Linked DNA regions of Arabidopsis thaliana. The protein of the gene in region 3 interacts with the protein of the main gene of each other region in a pairwise test. Each region holds a gene or a part of one and is shown on either strand. Other genes may lie near its edges.

Region 1 (6,101 bases), on a different chromosome or scaffold from region 3:
TTTTTAGAGTAGCACATTTTCACTACTTCGTTATGGTAACCTATGAATTATCTGTCGTAGCTGGCAAATTCCTCAACAGAGTCTGCTGCAAGGAACCATCTAACATCTAGACAACAAACTTCTTCTCCTGGATTGAGCTCTTCCAGTGGAGCAAGTCGAAGACCTTCATCATCTGGAGGACCTGGATCAAGACCTGCCACACCCACTGGAAGATCATCAACACTGACGGCAAATTCAAAATCCTCAAGGCCTTCAACACCCACTTCGCGAGCCACTGTCTCCTCAGCTACTCGACCTTCTTTGACTAACTCGAGGTCCACAGTATCTGCAACGACTAAGCCCACGCCTATGAGTAGGTCAACAAGTTTATCATCATCTAGGCTCACACCTACTGCATCTAAGCCGACTACCTCAACTGCTAGATCTGCTGGTTCAGTAACTAGATCTACCCCTAGCACCACCACAAAATCTGCAGGTCCTTCAAGGTCCACCACACCTCTGTCAAGATCTACTGCCAGATCTTCAACACCAACTTCAAGACCCACACTTCCTCCATCTAAAACCATATCAAGGTCATCTACACCAACTCGCCGTCCAATTGCTTCTGCAAGTGCTGCAACTACTACAGCAAATCCCACAATATCCCAAATCAAGCCTTCTTCTCCAGCGCCAGCAAAGCCTATGCCAACACCATCTAAGAACCCTGCTTTATCTCGTGCAGCATCTCCTACAGTGAGGTCAAGACCATGGAAGCCGTCAGACATGCCTGGTTTCTCATTAGAAACTCCTCCAAATCTAAGGACAACATTACCCGAAAGGCCACTTTCAGCGACAAGAGGCAGACCTGGAGCTCCAAGCTCTCGTTCTGGTTCAGTTGAGCCAGGGGGCCCTCCAGGAGGAAGACCAAGAAGGCAATCATGTTCACCATCAAGAGGAAGAGCACCAATGTACTCTAGTGGTAGCTCTGTTCCTGCGGTTAATCGTGGATATTCCAAAGCCAGTGACAATGTTAGTCCGGTGATGATGGGAACAAAAATGGTGGAGAGAGTAATAAACATGCGGAAACTTGCTCCACCCAGATCAGATGACAAGGGTTCTCCTCATGGTAACTTGTCTGCAAAGTCTTCATCACCCGACAGTGCAGGATTTGGAAGAACGCTCTCCAAGAAGTCCCTTGATATGGCAATAAGGCATATGGTATGTATCTCTCTCTTCTCTCTTCCTCAAGTGGTGGCAATTGCGTTTAACTGATGATCAAACGTTTTGATGAAAACAGGATATACGTAGAACTATTCCAGGGAACCTGAGACCACTAATGACGAATATTCCAGCATCATCAATGTACAGTGTGAGGTCTGGACATACACGTGGTAGACCGATGAATGTTTCAGACTCTTCTCCACTAGCAACAAGCAGCAACGCAAGCTCAGAGATCAGTGTCTGCAACAACAATGGCATTTGCTTAGAGGCAAGTGAAAAGGAAGACGACGCAGGCAGCGAGAGAGGTTGCAGGTCCCCTGCAAGCTTACAAGGGAGATGAAGGAAGAAAGAAGAAAAGCCTTTTGTAAAACGTTCACATTTGAGATTCTCTTTTATTGTTTGTGAGTTTTAATTATCACACGAGTTTGATAATGATGATATGTGAAGTAGCGTTTTGATGTTTTATGTAAACCTCTCCACTCTCGTCTCTACTTTAACCCTAAAATGGATGGATCCTTTAACCGATTGATTTGAGATATTAACCACTATTCAATGGTAACTGACTAAAACATAAAAAGTTATCATTCCAATATGACATAATTATGTTAATAACACACATGAACCATAAAATCTCTCAGCTGTTTATAACACATAATGAAATGCAAAGACTGAATTCACACAGATGTAAGCAACGAATAAGAAAACAAAGGAGGTTTTTAAGCAGCAGTAACTGCCTCAGTGGGCTTGGTTTCGGGAACATTCTTTGGAGGAGCAGCCGCCTCCTCCGATGGAGGTTGAGAAGTGAGTTTCAGGTGAGAAGGTGGGTTGTGTTTGAGCTTCACCAATATTTGTCTCATTCTTGTTAGATCGGTTGGCTTACCGGGCTTTGGACCTTGAATCACAGAGACTGTTGGCTTCTTAGGATCTTGTTGCTCTTTTTTTCCTCTCCTTTTCTCTATTGTTGGAACTTCTTTAGGAACTAGCTCTGCTATTGCCTTCCAGTAATTCTTGCTGGATTCCGCGTAGAACTTCTCTTGGTTCTCCAGATACAGCTTAAGTGTTCAAAGACAAATAAACACATAAGTGAAAGTTTAATCAACACTGTAACAATGCAATATGCAGATAAAAAGGTATCAAAGATCACACACGTAATGAAGATAATCAATGTATTAAGATAATCTCAAAACTGACAATGCATTAAGATAATCAATCACAGTTGACTTAAGACTAAGATGGTCAAAGTTTGAAAATTTTAATATCAACAAGCCATTGACTTGCATTGACAATTCTCCACAAACCACATGACAACAACACAGATTGAGAAAAGATGATAAAAAATTCAAATCTTTTAGCAAAAGAACAAACCTTTTCCTTCTCTCTGTTAGCTGCTTTGTTGTTTTCACAAGTTACTTCAATCTTCTTATGAAACTCTTCTTTGTATTGATCAGCTTCCTCAATAATTTGCTTCAACAATTCCTTTTCTCTCTTCTCCTTCTCCTCAAGTTGAATTGCATTTTGTCTACACATAAACATAATAAAGCCATAGCACGAAATCAGATCTATACATCTTAATCAACTCAACAAGCATTACAAGCTTACGGATCAAGATGTTATTCTAGAACACACGATTTGAGCAATAAACTCTAAGCAAAAGTAACAGATCCAATCTAATAAACTGATTACTTCTGAGAACAATGGACACTAACTAGCAGATAACTTCAATTCACAAAAATTGTGAATCAAAATTCAAAATTGAAATTCTCAGATTATCAAAGAGATTCTCAACTAAATTTATCCACTTTATCGATTTTCTTCAGGAAGAAGTAAACAAAAAGCAACAAAGATCAAAACTTTGAGTAGATCTAACCTTCTCCATTCTCTAAGAGCAAATCCCTCATCTGATTCCATCTCCGACGGTGGTGGCAAGATAGGACCGTCGTGATCCCCGTTGGATCCGAAGATGCCGTCACCGTTGGAGTAAGCACCGTAGTCAGAAGACGGCGCTGCAAAAACATCGTCGACGGAGTCCTCGACTTGGAGTGAGCCGTCGAAAGCTGAGAAAGAATCAGTGGCGTCAAAAGAGCCTGAGACTGGAACAGACTCAGACGCATCATCGTTGAGTATGACGAAGGAATCGTCTTCAAAGGCAGACATCTCTCGAACACACAAAAAAAAAAAAAAAGGCAGAACGAAGAACTCGCGAATCTTGTCTTTTCAAGTGTTCTCAAGCTTATGGCAAAAATTAATAACGGAGATTTGTGACTATTTTTATTTCCATTTTTCTTAATGGGCTTTTTTCGAGCCCAAATACTTCCAATTCATCATGAGTATTCCGGTTTAGTTATGGTTTAGGTTCCAACCGATCCATTAGATTACAATTAATGTTCCATACGTGTTCTTCTTATCTTAATCAAAACGTTTTGCAATTTAGTGTGGGTTCGGTTGTTCTACTTTCTAATTCAACCGGATCATTGAAACTACGTGTTCTTCTTTTCTTGTTTAAAACGTTTTGCAATTTGGTTTTGGTACGATTGTTTCATTTTCCATTTCAAACCTTCATTTTTTTTTTTTTTTTGAATAAACCTTCATTTTCTTTTTGTGTGTTTCGTGATTGAGTTCACAAAGTCTCAAATTATACACTACTAATGAATTGGCACAATCATTGAGCACGATTAATATAGAGTCTTGAAGTCATGGAACATCAGAAATGAACAAAACTATGTGCAAAGAAAAGTTGATTCTTTATTTGCATGTAAAGAAGAACATTATCATCACAACTACTGAGAAAAGGAACAAAATCAACCATATGTTTTCACGTTTAAGTATATTAATAATCAAGAGTAGAAGAAAACTTTTGGAATCAAATTTTCGTATTTATAGAGGAAAAATGTTAACAACTTGATATCTTGTATGACAAATATTTTTTTATAAAAGCCTAAAACAAAAATAAACAAAGACTTAACACATTCATGGATTCTAGCGTCGGAGGATTTTATGAGGTGGAAAAGGATGGTAACCTTGTTTTGGTATACCATCATCCGAAATATTGCCCCATACCCCAAACACAGACCGTAACCTCCTCCAGTGACCTTCAACCTCTTTTCTTATGCCCTCGATCACGACGTCGAAAAATCAAGTCGTATTCAGACACTTATCCGCTTAATTCTTCCCCCGAGTACGTCCTTTCTACAACGACGACCTCTCATGATCATCATGTACTCCCTTTGTTTTGGTGCAACAATAAAGAATTTGATGCTGATGGTGGATGCTACATATGCGAAGGCTCAAATTCCGGCACCGACTATTATTTCTGCAACTATTGTAGCATAAAATTACACAAAGAATGCATTCAATCTCCACTTATAATCAAACATCCTTACCACCCTGAGCACTATCTCCAACTTTTCTTTCATGATGATAACTTTCGTAAGATTGAGTGTTTATGTTGTGGAAGAAAAGCACATTGGTTGATTTATCATTGCACCACATGCCAGGCTTTTATGCATCCCATATGTGCGATGAAGCCAATACCTTTTCTTATAGACCCACCAAAAAAGCATATCCATCCTCTCACTTTTTTCCCCAGACAAACTTCCTTGACTTGTAATGTTTGTGGTTTGTTGAGAAAAATTTATCCCACCTACGTTTGTTTCAGATGTAACTTTGTAACTCATAATGACTGTATGAATTCCCCACACATCATCAAGATATCACGTCACCGTCATCGTATCTCGTTCACTTTTTCTCTTACATCTAGAGAATGGTTTTGTGGAGTTTGCCGTTTAAGTATTAACGTTGATTATGGTGCATATACTTGTGACACGTGTAGCGATTATGTTGTTCATTCAATATGCGCTCTTGGGAAAGATGTGTGGGATGGAAAAGAACTCGAAGGTATACCAGAGATAATCGATATAACAGAAAATGATGGACCGTTCGAGGTGATATCTGAAGGAGTGATACTTTATTTTCATCATAATCATCATCTCCGACTCGAGGTCAGCAACGTTTATGATGAAAACATGCTTTGTCAAGCGTGTGCCATTCCTATCTATGAAGGTAACTTATATGTTTGTATGGAGTGTGATTTCATCCTCCATGAAACATGTGCTAAGGCTCCCCGTAGAATCCAACATGCCTTACATCCTCACCCACTTGTATTGGAGGTTATCAATAGCTTTACTTACAATACCTTCCGTTGCAACGCTTGTGATCGTGGTTCTATTGGCTTTGCCTATCACTGTAGGATGGAGGTATGCAACTTTTTCAAGCTTGATGTAAGGTGCGCTTTAATTTCTGAGCCGTTTGATTACAAAGGTCATGAAGATCCCTTGTTCCTAGCTTTAAACCCAGAAATAAAACCCATATGTCATATATGCAAAACAGAATGTTTAAAACAATTAAATTGCATCAAATGCAATTTCATTGTATGTTTTAAGTGTGTTACCTTACCATACAAAATAAAATATAAGCATGACACACACTTCCTCACAATTTCATTTGGTGAAGAAGTACGTGAGCAAGAATGGTGTGAAATATGTGAACGTAGTTTAAAGGATACATGCACAAAAGTATTCTACTGGTGCAACGAGTGTTGCACCACTTTTCATATTGAATGCTTAATTGGTGGAGACCCATATATCAAGCCCGGTCAATATTTCAATAAATGGGTATGCAGGGTTCAAGTTCTTCCCAAATGTAATATTTCTCGACCATTATGTGGTTCTTGCAAGAACCGTTGTATAGGGAAAATATATGATGTAGGCTACCGTGTTGAATGTTCATATGAATGTATTTAAACAATGTATCCATGCATCTGAATAAAATGTAATTTCTCTATTATTGATTTCAATTTCATAAAACTAAACTGATTTCTCAATTCGTGCAATTACACAAGAGCT
Region 2 (6,719 bases), on a different chromosome or scaffold from region 3:
CATTACATAAATTTTTGAAAGTAAGAAAAAGTGGAAAGTGACGTCAAGGGATAGTGAGAAAAACATTATTAGGAGAACATTTTATACCCGTTTTCAGAAGTTATACAAATGGAGAATATGTGCATATATTATTTCAAGATGATTTACATCTATAAATAGACATATACACGTGGGCCAAAACCAAACGTGTATACTTCCAGTGGATGCCTCATCAACAAGTATGTACATACATATATATATATATATATATATATATATATATATATATATATGTACATTTATCCTTATATCGTATGTGCGTGCGAGTTTGAAACTTACAAGTAAGATTAATTAGATTAATGTCTGTATCTTTTTTTGATAAAGAATGTGCATATGTGTTATCTTAGTGGTGGTAAAATTAAAACATTAAATAAAGAGACAGCATGAGTGTTAAACATGTGTGTCCAACAAATAAAGTGATAATTGGAGCGTTACTAGAAAGGTAATTAAAATAAACTCAAGTGATAAACAACTTTTCTGGTATGGAAGAATGATTGTACCGTACGTAAGTGATATTATATAAATAACCGTGTCGACTCTCGACTCTGGTACTCATCGAATTCTTAAAAATCATCGATAAAGTGCATAAGTACAAAACTTGATGAGATCAGTACTACTATTTTCATCAGCCTGCTAGAAAGAAAATACTTTATGACTTGCCTTATGTTTTAAGTTTTATGTGGACAGAGACGACAGTCGTACGTATGCAGAATTGTAATTTGTCTCTTTGACAACATGGTCCTTTAATTTCTTATAGTTTACATTACTATGATAGTCAAATAATCATGAGTTAAATGTGCAGGATGGGATGTCATGGCTGTTGAATCCAGCGGATCAAAATCTGCCGTTGATTTTGGCGGATCAAGGATTCGATGTGTGGATGGGGAACACAAGAGGGACTAGATTCAGCAGAAGACACAAGTACCTTAACCCTTCTCAACGGGTCTGGTTCAGTGAACCACTGTTTTAACCAGTAGATTACGTATATATCTTTACTAAGGAAACTGATATTTAACATCGTTGGCACGTTGTGGACTTAGGCTTTCTGGAACTGGACGTGGGACGAGCTTGTGAGTTACGATCTGCCTGCTATGTTTGACCATATCCATGGCCTAACAGGCCAAAAGATTCACTACCTCGGACACTCTTTGGTGGGTCCAACGTTATCAACATATTTTTTCTCTGATTTTTTTCTTTTTCTTATAGTAATATATCTTCTCATAATAGAATGAAAAATGAAATGGAAATTGTCAGGGGACGTTAATAGGATTTGCTTCGTTCTCAGAAAAAGGGTTGGTGGATCAAGTGAGATCGGCGGCGATGTTGAGTCCCGTTGCTTATCTCAGCCACATGACCACCGTCATCGGCGATATCGCCGCAAAAACCTTCCTCGCCGAGGTCCCTAGCTTCTCCCTTGTAATACCCTTTTTTATTCTTATACAAATATGTGCCTACAGTTATGAAAATAACTTGTTTATCGTCTTTCAAAAATAGGCCACCTCTATTCTTGGATGGCCAGAGTTTAACCCGAAAAGGTAAATCTTCACCCTTTTTTCTTAAAATATGCTTGTTATTATTGGCTTGATTTGATTACGTAAAATAGTTAAAACAACATTTGCAGTGGATTAGTAGGGGATTTTATAAAGGCTATATGCCTTAAAGCGGGGATCGACTGTTATGATTTAGTCTCTGTTATCACTGGTAACGCTACAACTAAAAAAGTCCACCAATCTACCATTGATGAATTAATTACATATATTAATTAACGTAATTTTACAAAAACATAGGAAAGAATTGCTGCCTTAACGCATCAACCATTGATCTGTTCCTTGCCAACGAACCTCAATCTACTTCCACCAAGAACATGATCCACCTTGCTCAAAGTAAGTGAAACAAATTCCCATTTTTTAAAAATTATTTTATAAACCTTAAATTGTTCAAATTATTTATTTGTAGCGGTAAGAGACAAGGAGTTGAGAAAATACAACTATGGAAGCAGTGATCGCAACATAAAACATTACGGTCAAGCGATACCACCGGCATACAACATATCGGCGATCCCACACGAGCTTCCGCTTTTTTTCAGCTACGGTGGTTTAGATAGCCTGGCTGATGTGAAAGACGTTGAGTTTCTCCTTGACCAGTTTAAGTATCACGACATCGATAAGATGAATGTGCAGTTTGTGAAAGACTATGCTCATGCTGATTTCATCATGGGTGTTACTGCCAAAGACGTTGTTTATAACCAAGTTGCTACCTTTTTCAAACGACAAGCTTGATAATATTATTACCTTGTCATTAGTTTATGTAATTGCATGTGCCCATATTCTTCAATTGTTTCCCTCTAAACAAAATGGGCAAAAATAAAATTAAAATTTTTATGAAAAAGTATACCAGTCTACTAGCTTCTAATTAAAATAATCCCAATATTTAATTTAGATTTTTTTTTTCTTTAATCTATAAACAATGGGGCAACCATTATCTAATTTACCCTAGTTTTAGGTATATTTAAGAAAGAACACTAAAACTACAGATTCGTATTTGACAAAAAAAAAAAAAGGAAACGAAAAACTATAGTAAAACAAAATTATGTGGAATGCTTTTCTTTTTAATTTTGTCGTCAAATTGTATGTGGATTTGTCGTTGAAAAAAAAACACATGGATTAAAGTTGGGCCAGTTTGATATAACTCAATGTGGGCTTTAAAAATACGGGTCGGGTCTTAACCCGGACAGTAAAATAGATAGCTCCGGTGGGCATTTGTTTTTGTTTTCTCTCTCGAGTCTCGACAACTGAGAAGCAACGGAACACCGGTGAATCCCGGAAAGAAGGTGAATCAAAAAAGCAGGTACCAAGCTGCGAATCTTCGTTTTTTTAAGGAATTCTCGATCTTTATGGTGTATAGGCTCTGGGTTTTCTGTTTTTTGTATCTCTTAGGATTTTGTAAATTCCAGATCTTTCTATGGCCACTTAGTAGTATATTTCAAAAATTCTCCAATCGAGTTCTTCATTCGCATTTTCAGTCATTTTCTCTTCGACGTTGTTTTTAAGCCTGGGTATTACTCCTATTTAGTTGAACTCTGCAGCAATCTTAGAAAATTAGGGTTTTGAGGTTTCGATTTCTCTAGGTAACCGATCTATTGCATTCATCTGAATTTCTGCATATATGTCTTAGATTTCTGATAAGCTTACGATACGTTAGGTGTAATTGAAGTTTATTTTTCAAGAGTGTTATTTTTTGTTTCTGAATTTTTCAGGCTGATAGGTTTATATAGCAATGTCTGGTAACAACAACAATCCACAAAAGCCTCAAGGCTCTGCGCCTTTGCCTTTTGGGAATCCTGGGATGGCCTCTGCATCTGTTCCTGGAAACCAAGGTTTTGCTCAGTCTCATATGGCAGCTAACTTTCAAGCTCAGTTTCAGTTCTCTCAAGCTCAGGCCCTAGCCCATGCTCAAGCACAGTCTAAAGTTCAAGCACAACTGCAAGCTCAGTTACAAGCTCAAGGCATGACGATGAACCAAGCACAAGGTTCTCCGGGGATTGGTGGCTTGGGTCCTTCTTCTCCTTCTTTGACGACTCCTGGAAGTTTAAACATGAAGAGATTCCAGCAGAAACCGCCGATGCGACCTCCTGGTGCTCCTGCGAGTAACAACACTATCTCCCCAATGAGAACAATGGAGTTAACTCCTGCTGCTCGGAAAAAGAAACAAAAGCTTCCAGAAAAGTCATTGCAGGAGCGGGTGGCTGCAATCTTGCCAGAGTCTGCCTTATACACACAACTTCTGGAGTTTGAGTCTCGGGTTGATGCTGCGTTAACTAGAAAGAAAGTTGACATCCAGGAAGCCCTTAAAAACCCTCCCTGCATACAGAAGACTCTTAGGATCTACGTTTTCAACTCGTTTGCTAACCAAAACAACACGATCCCTGGGAATCCTAATGCTGACCCGCCAACATGGACTCTTAAAATTATTGGTAGGATACTGGAAGATGGGGTGGATCCCGACCAGCCAGGGTTTGTTCAGAAAGCAAACCCATTGCATCCCAAATTCTCGTCTTTCTTCAAAAGGGTTACAGTTTCCCTGGATCAGAGGCTGTATCCTGAGAACCCATTGATCATATGGGAGAATGCTCGATCACCTGCTCCTCAGGAAGGCTTTGAGATAAAGAGGAAAGGGAATCAGGAGTTTGCTGCTAGTATACGGTTGGAGATGAACTACGTCCCTGAAAAGTTCAAGCTTTCTACTGCATTGATGGATGTTCTCGGGATTGAGGTTGAAACCCGCCCAAGAATCATCGCTGCAATTTGGCATTACGTTAAGGCGAGGAAACTGCAGAACCCAAATGACCCCTCTTTCTTCAACTGTGATGCTGCACTTCAGAAAGTTTTTGGAGAAGAAAAGTTGAAATTCACTATGGTCTCTCAGAAAATATCTCATCACTTGTCGCCTCCACCACCTATTCACTTAGAACACAAAATCAAGCTCTCAGGAAATAATCCGGCCGTATCAGCATGTTACGATGTGCTAGTGGATGTACCCTTCCCGATCCAAAGAGATCTGAACAATTTGCTAGCCAACGCAGAGAAGAACAAAGAGATTGAGGCTTGTGATGAAGCAATATGTGCAGCCATAAGGAAAATCCATGAGCATAGGAGGAGGCGGGCATTTTTCTTGGGGTTCAGCCAATCGCCAGTTGAATTCATAAACGCCCTGATCGAATCTCAGAGCAAGGATCTAAAGGTCGTTGCGGGAGAAGCCAGTCGAAATGCTGAGAGAGAACGTCGATCAGACTTCTTCAACCAACCTTGGTAAGCTAATCATCTAGACTCTGCTACTCTGGCCTTTATTCGCACAGATGATATGTATTAAGAGTTGTAAAATGTTTTTTTTTTTTTTTGGTCAAAGAGTTGTAAAATGTTTCTGAATCATAATTTGGGGTAAAATGTTTGCAGGGTCGAAGATGCAGTTATACGTTACTTGAACCGGAGGCCAGCAGCTGGGAACGATGGGCCAGGGAGTTGGTGAGTTTCTTGACGATACAAGTCTCTTCATCTGTTTGAGCATTTTTAGTAGAAGATATTGTTGAGATTAGTCTGGTTTAAAAGTGAACTAGTGTATCTGTAATCTTGTGTATGTTGAAACATTACTACTTTATATAATTAGCTTTGTTTTGTAGCCTTTGCGTTAATGGTTAAGTCATGTTTTTATTAGCAAAAGGAAAATAACATTGGCATTATTAAAAAAAAAAAACACTTAAAGTTGAACAAAAACGAAAATGTTTGGAAAGAGTATCATTGTGAAGTAAGAAGTGGGGAAGAGCCAGCGAGCATTAGAGAATGGTCTGGAGGAGATAGAAGAAGACGAAAGGCGTTGAACCTTCTGGGAGGAGAGATTGAAGACGAAGACATCCTTTTGGCTAGATGGAAGACCGCTGAAATAGGTGGAGTTTCTGGTAATACCTTGGATATCGGAGGATGCTTGCACGGTGATACCTAGATCCAAGATCACGGCCTGGTCGCCACGAAAAAGCCAGGAAAGGTCACGACGTTTAAGAACGCAGCCAACCATCAAAAAATCTCCAGAGATGGTGATTACTATGTTGGTCTTCCAGTCAAGATAGTCTGTCCAAATTGTATCATAAGGGCTAAAAGATCCCAAGCGGAAGCGAAAGGGATAGAGCTGAACATGAGCAGTTTTTGTTACAAACTTCAAATCCGAGATTCCGATGCTACCATCCTCATAGTAAATGTAAAGTTTGTGGTCCTTGAGGGCAATATCACTACACCCCAACAAAGGAGGAATCTGGCGCCATTCACAATCGCCTTTCTTGCAAAAGGCTGCATGCTTGTCTCCACCCCAGCTGCAAGCAACTACGTAGTCTTTAGTTTTCTCGTCTATCCACACAACTGCCTTATCAGTACTAGGGTATCCCATCATCTCGGCTTTGCTTGCAAAATGACCTTTTCTGTAGAGTACGCTGAAAAGAGCTGGTCACGTTGAGACTCGATAGCTACTAGGTTAATCCTCTCCAAATTTAGCACATTCACAAGATATAGATTTAACCGAGGAGCCAGGTGCCGCAACTTGCAAGGCAAGGATCCACACCAAGGTCTTGAATTGTGTAAACGTTTTCTTCTTCCTGTGGATTGTACAACATGCAACTGCGTCTGATTTGTGCTGGATCAGGGAAAAGAATTAGCCACGGAACCTGATTAGGTTTGGAGACACAGTCTCCCCAAACCCTACACCAAGTGGAACAAACCGCCCTAGCTCGATGAAAATCCGAGAGTCTCAGCCGTCGCAGAACCAATCTGATCACATCCTCAGGAAGCTCCGACCAATCCACCCCCCTAGAATTGAGAGCTTGACGTTTGTGAATCAAAGCCATATCTAAAAGTCGTCACAAACTGCACTCTTTTTACTTTTCTAAAGCCAGTTATGACGAGGCAATCTAAACCAAATCAAATTCCAAATTCAATCAGGATTTGCTTTTGATACGTAGTAATCATATACAGTATATATGTTCGAGAAAAAAACATAATAATTTATGGCAAAAATATTTTGGTAATTCCACAAGTATTTAGTAGGTTATTTCATTTCGTGACTTTTGTTTTTTACGATTATGCAATGTTTTGTATGTCTTCAAGACTGCTTAAAAATAATAATTCGGTCAATACACC
Region 3 (8,920 bases):
AATTTAGAAATTGAGTAGATGCTACAAACTTATTCGAAAATGGACCCCTTTCTATTATTAAAAAAAAACTTCCAATCTACTCTTTGTATTATGTTTTGTTGCTGATCTTGAGTATGTCTTTGTGCAGAAAGCTGTGGCAGGTATAAAGCGTATCAATCTCGACGGTCTTCGTTGGCGTGTTTTTGATGCCAGAGGCCAGGTTTTCTTTCTTCTACCTCTCTTCCAATCTACTCTCTCTTTCTTCTACCACTTTCTTCTTCTTATGCTTGGTTAGTTACATGACTACAGTGGCAAACATTTCCAGATTTTAGATAGGATGCCTTATCTTTGTTGTGTCTTTGTATTAAATCTGAATTGAATTGCTAGGATTTCATTTGTGAATATAACTTGTCTACTCTAGGTTCTTGGTAGACTAGCTTCCCAGATATCAACCGTGCTTCAAGCCAAAGATAAGCCTACTTATTGTCCTAACCGCGACGATGGCGATATTTGTATTGTTCTCAATGCTAAGGAAATCGGCTTCACAGGAAGAAAGCTCACTGACAAATTCTACCGTTGGCATACTGGGCAAGTTGCACTCTTTCTTTTAATGCTCCTGTGAATCTTCAGCTACTACAAGTGTTTTATCATATCTTTTAGTATCTCCCATTTTCATCTACTTTATTTAATCTCTCTTTGTAGGTACATCGGACACCTGAAGGAACGGAGTCTGAAAGATCAGATGGCCAAAGATCCCACAGAGGTCATTCGTAAGGCTGTCTGGCGCATGCTTCCAAGTAACAATTTGCGTGATGTGAGTACACTATAAACTGAAACATTTTCTAATCACCTGAATCCTCAGTCTTTTAGATCCCTGACTTTCTGGCTACAGATATTACCCCACACCTTGGCTTTACTCTTACTTGTTGATATCCATCATGAGTTGTGTGGAATGAGATTCTTGGTGTCCTATGTCTAGAAAGGTTGTCTCTCCTCACAAATCGGTCTTATCGAATGAGATGATATACCCTTGTTTTGAAAATCATTTAGGTTTGGAAGGAAGATTGTTCTGAACTCTTGGTTTTACCATTTTGTTATTTGTCCTTTATCTTTGGTGGGAATAGTGGCTTGTTTGTACTGATACATTCTCGCTTCTCAGCTCCTAAATGAATTGCTCGCATAGTTTAGGATGTGTTGCTTAAAACAAGAATGTGCTGAGGTTTTGTTGCTTTGTGTGGGTATAGGACAGGGATCGGAAGCTGAGGATATTTGAAGGCGGTGAGCATCCTTTTGGGGACAAGCCACTTGAGCCATTTGTGATGCCGCCTCGTAGAGTTAGAGAGATGCGACCGCGCGCAAGGCGAGCAATGATCCGTGCGCAGAAGAAGGCAGAGCAGGCAGAAAATGAGGGAACAGAGGTAAAGAAAGGAAAGAAGAGGACCCTCTCTGAAGTACCTGCGTAGAGGAATTACTTCAGAGGAAAGCTAGTGATGTGACTGTCTTTTTATTTGTAAGCAAAGTTCATAATGCAGACGTGGATAAGCTTTTAAGGCTTTCTTGTTTCTCAGACAATAAACCTGTTTCTGGATCTCAAACACTGTATCACAAATGAAGCCAAAACCATCTTCCTTAAACATGGATCTGTTTCTGGTTATCTTTCAGTTTTCTTCGTTGCAAAAAACAGAGCAATCTCACGCCAAACACTGCATGACTACAGAATGTTACTGATGGAAAATGGGTAAATGCATCCTTGGTTCCATAAACGTGTGAAATTTGTGAATAAGACGGAAGAATTCGTAAAAAAGGGCAATAGTAACATCCTTGGTTTGTTTCTTTTCTTCACCAACAACAATACAAAACATCTAAACCTACGAAGAAACCACACACAACAAAAGAAAACAAAGATTGTTGTAGCTTCATCTGAGAAAAAAGTACTCTCGCTCTTAGTTAACTTTGGTATATTTTCTATCTTTGCACAAGATGTGCCATTCTTGGAGCACTGCTGCCTGAAGCGCCATGTGCTCTGTTTCTTCTGCTGTCAGCTTAGAAAATGTTCCTTTTTCCTTCTCTTTTTTCTTCTTCTCTTCCTTGTCCTTTCCCTCTTCTTTCTCCTTTTTCTCTTTTACTTCTTCATCATCATCTTCTTCTTCTCCTTCTTCTTCTTCTTCGTTTTCTGATTCCTCCTCTATCTTTGAAGTCTTCTTCGGCTGAGCTGCCTTCAACAAAGCTATCCTCTCCATAGAGATCTTCAGCTTCTCGGCCGCGGTTGCCTTCACTTCGTCCTCTGGCATGTACTCAACGCCCCCGTCAGTTAGATCATCACACCATCCCTGAATATCCGACTCTATTTGCTTTGTGATTGATGCTTCTGATGCTCTAACCACAAACTTGCACATCATGGTGGTAGTCTCGTCACCCAGATCCATGTTCCTGCTCACTTCACTAGCGCCAAAGATCATCATACCCACAAAACCTCCATGCCACGTTTTTGCAGCGTAACAAAGCTGTAGTGACATCAAGTTAGGGGTTTATCAGACCATCAATCCAGTTAAGGAACAAGAAGAATAACAGAACCAAGTTCACCTGAAAGCCAGCAACTGTGCGTATAATGTGGGAACAGACTCTGTGGAATGGCTTCGAGGATAATGATTTGAGTCCGCTTAAAAATGGTGAAGCCCCATACTGTTGTGCGGCGGTCGCCATGAAGCCGCTTCCTTCATACATATATGTGCCAGTGTACTCTGCAACAGCTGGCAAGCTAGGCCACAAACGAAAGAACTCGACTGGTGAGATTTTGTGCGGTAGAAGAAGCTCAGTCAGTGGGATCTTGTAAGGCTGACATCTTAAGATCACAGGCTCTCCGAGTTCTGCTTTTGAACCTCTCTTCTGCTTCATGATCTGTGGATCCTCTTCTATGTAGTCACCGTCATATTCTCCCCTAGCACCACGGAATGGATAGTAGAGGACTTGAACCCAGAAACCACATCTTTCAAATTGGGACACACCAACGGTGACACTGCATTGTACAGGATCCTACAAAAGTAAATCACAGAGTCCATGATAATACAGCTAACATATACGAAACTGATTGATTGGTAAGAACAGAAACGGTTTCCAACTGACAAGACTTAAGAAATTAGAGAACTGTAAAGAGATGGGAGTATATAAGCACTGAAGAATGACATGCAACCTGTGAGACAAGATTACGCAACTGCCGCACTGCTTGAGGAGAGCCATCCATGAAGTATAGGGCACCAGATAATCCAACCCGTATATCCACACGATTCAGTTCAAGTTCTGTCAAATTAATAATCTGAAAGGTAACATAAAGTATAAGGTGTTGAGACGCTAAAACTTTATCCACTAAAACTGTATTCAAGTAACTGCAGGATGATACAGTAGAATATATACCAACCTTCAAGTGCAAAGTGACCCTTCCATCATTTGTATCTGCTAAATGGTAAGCTTCTATATAGCAAGGATCACTGCTTCCGGTCAAAGGATATGCTGTGGGAGGAACCTTGATAGAAGTTGAGTCGACCCCTTTTGTAAGGAAGAGAGTTAATTCAGTGGGCTTTGGCCTCCAAAGCTCGAGAATGGCCTTGTGAATTAGACCTTCTAATTTCCTGTCTTGAGCAGCTGATGGTTCGTAAAACTGAACAGTAAGCTTATGGTGGCTAAACGGGTAATCTCCTCTTGTCTCACTAACTCCAGCCCACCTGGAAAATAATAGGTTGTCTGAGTTCCAATCCAGAAATGCAGTAAAACTCACATAATAAAAGGATTACAAGCCAAGGGAAAGCTCACTTTCTTTCAGGAAGATTTGAAACATATTTGATCCTCTGCAATATTAAACGGGTTTGATGTTTGCTAACTGTATCTGCAGCAGCATGGTTCCTATACTCTTCAAGCTCTTTGGTTAATAACTGGCCAGCTCTTGCATGACGCGATCCCATCCTCTGGGCGCATAATAAGACTGCCTGAACATCTTGTAGCCTATTCGATGTAGTAGCAGCGGCATCCAAGTTGAAGAGAACCTTATGTATGTTTGCTATGATAATATTCAATGGATCATCGGGGTCATCAGCTAAAAGTGGATCTAGACCTTCTAGATCAATATGTTCTGCGATTGTCCATATAAGACGCCCGAGGATTCTTGGGGTATTTACCTGCCAAATTGAGATCAAGATTTTTATAAGACATTGACCACGTTTCAGTCCACAAGCAATAGTTCTCCTCCACATTTAGTATTAAATAGTACTTAAGAAAGCCTAACTAAAATTCTTCGAGGAAAATTGCCAAGGGTTACTTCTAACTTTCAGCTGAGGCTTAATTACCTCTTGGAGATCCTTAACAAGCTCACGTTGCAAGTTCTGCAATCGTGTCTCATTTAATATTTGATCCTGGGAAGCACCATCTTTCAGCCTCTTCACTCCTCCACGGGTATCATAGATATGGCACAGCCTAACAAGCAATTTCAAATAGCAATCTACAGCGTACGTCCTGCCATCACAATCCCATTTGACACAAGGCCTACAAACTTCCACAACCTCAAGGGCTGGTTCTGTCCAGTTCAGAGCACCATAACCAGTACCATATGCTAACGCACCAATCACTCTGCTCTCCATACCCGAGTTTTTTTGTTCAGGCAAAGGTAGAGACAACTGGAAGCAGCTTTCCACAAGCATTGCCACCAGCTCTTCCCGAAATAAGCTCTTACTGGTAACACTATTGAGATCATCTTTAATCCTTGCATCTTCAAAGAGAGAAATAATATCTGTCCCAGGCAGAGGCTTCTGACCTCTTCGGGCACTTTCTCTGGCAAAAAGGTGAACACAGAGAGCTGTCCGACAGATACAGGCTAATGCGTGCATCCTGTCCGATTCTGCTCTCAAGTTTCTCACCATAAGCAGCAGTCTTCTAAACAACGAAACCTTCGTAACAAATTCCAAAAAGAATGATTCAGAAATCATAGGCCACAGCTTCAAGACAAAGGTACACAACTAACCGAGCTTAAATGAAGTAAAAAACGACATACCTGCATATGCAGATCAAGCAAGTGCAGGTTCGTAACAACGGCCCTGACTATACTCTCTCTAGCAGAGGAAAATTCTTGGCGGTCCCAGAGTGTTAAAATTGCAATAATGGACTGTGAAGCCCACTCTGGCTTGCCTCCGGCAACATCTGCCAGGTAGAGCATGTTAATTCCCACTTCAAAAATCAAAGCTGGATCCAAAGAGGAAGCCAAGAATGGCGCCAAATGGGTAACCAAATCTGAGACGCCAACCAGCTTCTCGGCGTTGGAGTCCACAACGGTGGCATTAGCTGCAGCAGCAGCAGAGGAAGCCTTGGAAAGCTGTCTAATCACTTCGACACTACCGGAAGCAACAGCTTTGACAGCAAAGACAAGAGGGAAAACAGTGGCTCTGAAGGTTTCGACAGGAAGGACTAAAGACCTAGCCATCAAAGCGCTCCTCTTTCTCCATACAATGTCAACCATGGAAGAGACCCACTTGGACCTGATGGCGAGGGAGTTCTCGCTGTCAACGAGCTTATCGCCAGCAAGACGGCTCATCCGCTTGGAGTCGAACTCCTGGAAGAGTCTGCCGACGGACTCAAAGGCAACCTTGGAGACGGCGTCGGATTTGTCGAGCATGTTCTGGCCGATCCGAGCCCACCAGTTGGAGACCTTGTCGAGGAGACCCACATTGTTCTCGCACAAAGTAACGAGATCATCACGCGCGAGGATGCAGCCAAGTGTCTCGGTGATGGAAAAACGAAGGTTGTCAGATGGAGAATCGAAGCAGGAAGCAATCTCAGAGCTGCAATCAGAGATGAGTTTAGGAAGCGAGAAGGCAGGGAGAGCCGCAAGGATGGAGACGGCAGCGGCGGTAACATCCGGGTCCGGAAAATGAAGATCCGTTTTGACACCTGAGCAAACGGTGTCCCAAAGATCCGGAGTGAGGCGGGTAGATCGGATGAGATCGAATGCCAGCTTCTTACAAACAGCTGAAGCCGGAGAAGCAACAATCTCCTCCACAGCAGACTTAGCGATCACAGAGATATCTCTTCCGGCGGCGGATTGCTGCAGCGCCTGAAGAAGCGCCGATGACTGGCGAAGCGCGTCATTTGAACGGAGGTCCGCCTGGATCTGAGCAAAAAGAATGTCCATAACCGGATCGAATTAACTGAAATTCGAGATCCAAAATCTGAGCTAACTAGCTTCGCTGTCAATCTGTGTACGTATGCGACATGGAACTGGAAGAAGAAGGATGTGTAAATCAAACCATCAATTGAAGAAGAAGGAGAAGAAATTGTTTTCGAAGGAAAAAAGCGCGTGCCGTTCCTGCGATTCGAGCTTTCACAGCGTGCCGTGTTGAGTCATCCGTAGACCCAATAAAGGCACATTAAAAAGTTCATTGGGCTTTACATTATAAGCCCAGGATATTATTTTTATGCACCGAAGTATTTGCATTCGATTTTAATTCGAGGGATCAGATCCGACGGTCCAGATTGAGTCCTGCCCAGTAGCAAAACGGCGTTAGACGCAGCATTCGTTAGGGACGGGACACTAGAGAAGGGAGGGCAGAGAGCGATTTTGTTCTCTCTCTACTTCTCGGTCGTCTTCTTCGTCTCCACTCTAGGGTTTTACTCTATCTTCTTCTTCATCATCATCTTCTACACCAATCTCTAGCGTTAATCTGTTTCTGCTGGAGAAGATTTACGCTTGTTCCTCGGTTCTCTTACTTCTGCTCCGGTTCGATCGCTTGCTAAGTGTTTCGAGTTGGTTAGTTCCGAATTTCCTTTTTTATGCATATTGAGTGTTCACTGCTCTCCTCCAGCAATACTATAGGGCTCTAAGAATTGAATTGCTTTCAGGTTTTCATAGTTAGGGTTTCTCAAAACTGACTTAAATATTTTGATTTGTGCAGGTTCGCACTTCGGTGGGCGATATCATGACTGTGAGGAACGGTGGTTTCCCAGGAGATTATAATCGTAACAGTTTTGACTCTCCCGGCGGCTGTGATGATAGCCCCAATGCTTCCAAGGATGATGAAACTTTTGGTGTCCCGAGAATAGTTTTACCCTTGTCTGACTTGTCATCATCAGAAAGGAGAAAGTGGATTCATACGCTTCGTCAGGAGCTGGAACAACTACGGTCCTTTCAGAAGAGTGTTGGGGACCTTCTTCCTATATCTAAGATTGTTACTAGTACACCTGCAAGTAATGTGTCTCGCCCCAAGAGTTTTGGAATGTCACGATGCTCTACTGGCCCTGGAAAAAGGGTGCTCCCCTTCACAGCAACCAAACCAGAGCCAGTCACCACTTCCACTATGCTTCGGATGAAGCAATGTGAGAGCCTCCTTAAACGATTGATGTCGCAGCAGCATTGTTGGCTCTTTAATACCCCTGTGGACGTCGTCAAGCTCAACATTCCTGATTATTTCACCATTATCAAACATCCTATGGATTTAGGAACTGTTAAAAGCAAGTTAACTTCCGGCACGTATTCAAGCCCTTCAGAGTTTTCTGCTGATGTCCGTCTTACTTTCCGCAATGCTATGACTTATAACCCGTCAGATAATAATGTGTATCGCTTCGCTGATACTCTCAGCAAGTTTTTTGAAGTGAGATGGAAAACTATCGAGAAGAAGTCATCCGGAACCAAATCTGAACCAAGTAACTTGGCTACTCTTGCTCACAAAGATATTGCGATACCTGAGCCTGTGGCTAAGAAGAGAAAGATGAATGCTGTGAAACGTAACAGCCTCTTAGAGCCTGCTAAGCGGGTTATGACAGATGAGGATAGAGTAAAGCTTGGCAGAGATTTGGGGTCCTTGACAGAATTCCCTGTACAGATAATAAATTTCCTGAGAGATCACAGCTCCAAGGAAGAGAGATCTGGAGATGATGAGATAGAGATTGACATCAATGATCTCAGTCATGATGCCTTGTTCCAGTTGCGGGATCTCTTTGATGAGTTTCTGCGAGAAAATCAAAAGAAAGATTCAAACGGTGAACCCTGTGTGTTAGAGGTAATCACCTTTCTATATCTCATTCTTGATCCATTTGTTAACATGACTGATAAACAGCGAAAACTTTCTTGATGTAGCTTTTACATGGGTCAGGGCCAGGAAATTCATTGACGCAACACTGTGATGGTTAGCATACACTGGTTTTGTTGTTTGAGCTAATTCGCATGTCCTACTCTATGATTAAGCTGTCATTTCCTCCTCGTTACTTGCAGGGAGTGAATTGGAGGACGAGGATGTTGACATTGGTAATTATGAGCACCCTATATCTCACATCTCAACTGTCAGAACAGAAAAAGGTATGGCGTTAGAGAACTACAGTGGTTTGTTTAATCTTGCTACATTGTATTTGTCTTTTTCTCTATGGAGCTTTTGCAGACGTTTGATGTTTGCAATTCTTATATGTACTTAACCCTCGGAACCATTTTACTTCCCTCTTGTCAGAAGTGGCCGTCCATCTAGAATACTCAATGTTACTTCTGTAGTTTTTTTGGAGTGAAACTTACTGACCTTACTGATAGCAACTCATATTACACACCTAGTATGATAGTGATAGACCTGTTACATTTTCTGCTTGTTTTACTCCCAGGTCGCTGTTTGCTATTTTCTATAGTGATCATATTATCTCTAATCAGTGATTACTCCTCTTTTGGTGCAAAAGATGTTAAGTTTTGTTGATATTAATTAATAAACCTTGGTTTTCTTATTCCCTTTCTAAAAGCAGATTCCGTCGGTGGATTGAATCAGATGGAAGATGCATCCAGAGGGAAGCTAAGTCTTATTGAGGGGGCAGATGGTCATCAAGATGGTAAGCTCAGAAGTGTAGCAGAAAAATATCTGTGCTCTAATATCTGAGGGTGGCATCTCACTCTTGACCCATTAATAATTTAGGAAATAGTGCTCCAAAA

The links.
Region 1: the proteins of TPLATE (region 3) and CLC2 interact in binary tests that used the Arabidopsis thaliana proteins (3 or more experiments, as listed by UniProt).
Region 2: the proteins of TPLATE (region 3) and CHC1 interact in a protein complementation assay, tested with the Arabidopsis thaliana proteins (one study listed by BioGRID).

What each region holds. Positions count from the first base shown.
Region 1 is NC_003071.7:16,723,817-16,729,917, reverse strand, and holds CLC2 (Clathrin light chain protein), read right to left. Parts: upstream 3,495-6,101; 5' UTR 3,355-3,494; coding exon 3,068-3,354; intron 2,720-3,067; coding exon 2,566-2,719; intron 2,253-2,565; coding exon 1,917-2,252; 3' UTR 1,711-1,916; downstream 1-1,710. Other genes in the region: AT2G40070 (flocculation FLO11-like protein), read left to right, coding at 61-1,197, 1,277-1,540; AT2G40050 (Cysteine/Histidine-rich C1 domain family protein), read left to right, coding at 4,170-5,999.
Region 2 is NC_003076.8:4,567,041-4,573,759, reverse strand, and holds CHC1 (SWIB/MDM2 domain superfamily protein), read left to right. Parts: upstream 1-2,765; 5' UTR 2,766-2,886; intron 2,887-3,295; 5' UTR 3,296-3,315; coding exon 3,316-4,847; intron 4,848-4,991; coding exon 4,992-5,064; 3' UTR 5,065-5,280; downstream 5,281-6,719. Other genes in the region: MPL1 (Myzus persicae-induced lipase 1), read left to right, coding at 842-982, 1,080-1,190, 1,294-1,437, 1,534-1,574, 1,661-1,740, 1,827-1,922, 1,996-2,318; AT5G14160 (F-box family protein), read right to left, coding at 5,293-6,026, 6,103-6,427. UniProt on the Arabidopsis thaliana protein: Involved in transcriptional activation and repression of select genes by chromatin remodeling (alteration of DNA-nucleosome topology).
Region 3 is NC_003074.8:276,402-285,321, reverse strand, and holds TPLATE (ARM repeat superfamily protein), read right to left. Parts: upstream 6,441-8,920; 5' UTR 6,152-6,440; coding exon 5,018-6,151; intron 4,914-5,017; coding exon 4,317-4,913; intron 4,149-4,316; coding exon 3,787-4,148; intron 3,699-3,786; coding exon 3,395-3,698; intron 3,293-3,394; coding exon 3,170-3,292; intron 3,013-3,169; coding exon 2,563-3,012; intron 2,484-2,562; coding exon 1,923-2,483; 3' UTR 1,671-1,922; downstream 1-1,670. Other genes in the region: AT3G01790 (Ribosomal protein L13 family protein), read left to right, coding at 128-199, 401-567, 682-793, 1,224-1,442; BET10 (bromodomain and extraterminal domain protein 10), read left to right, coding at 6,936-8,015, 8,093-8,141, 8,228-8,311, 8,737-8,820, 8,904-8,920. UniProt on the Arabidopsis thaliana protein: Functions in vesicle-trafficking events required for site-specific cell wall modifications during pollen germination and for anchoring of the cell plate to the mother wall at the correct cortical position.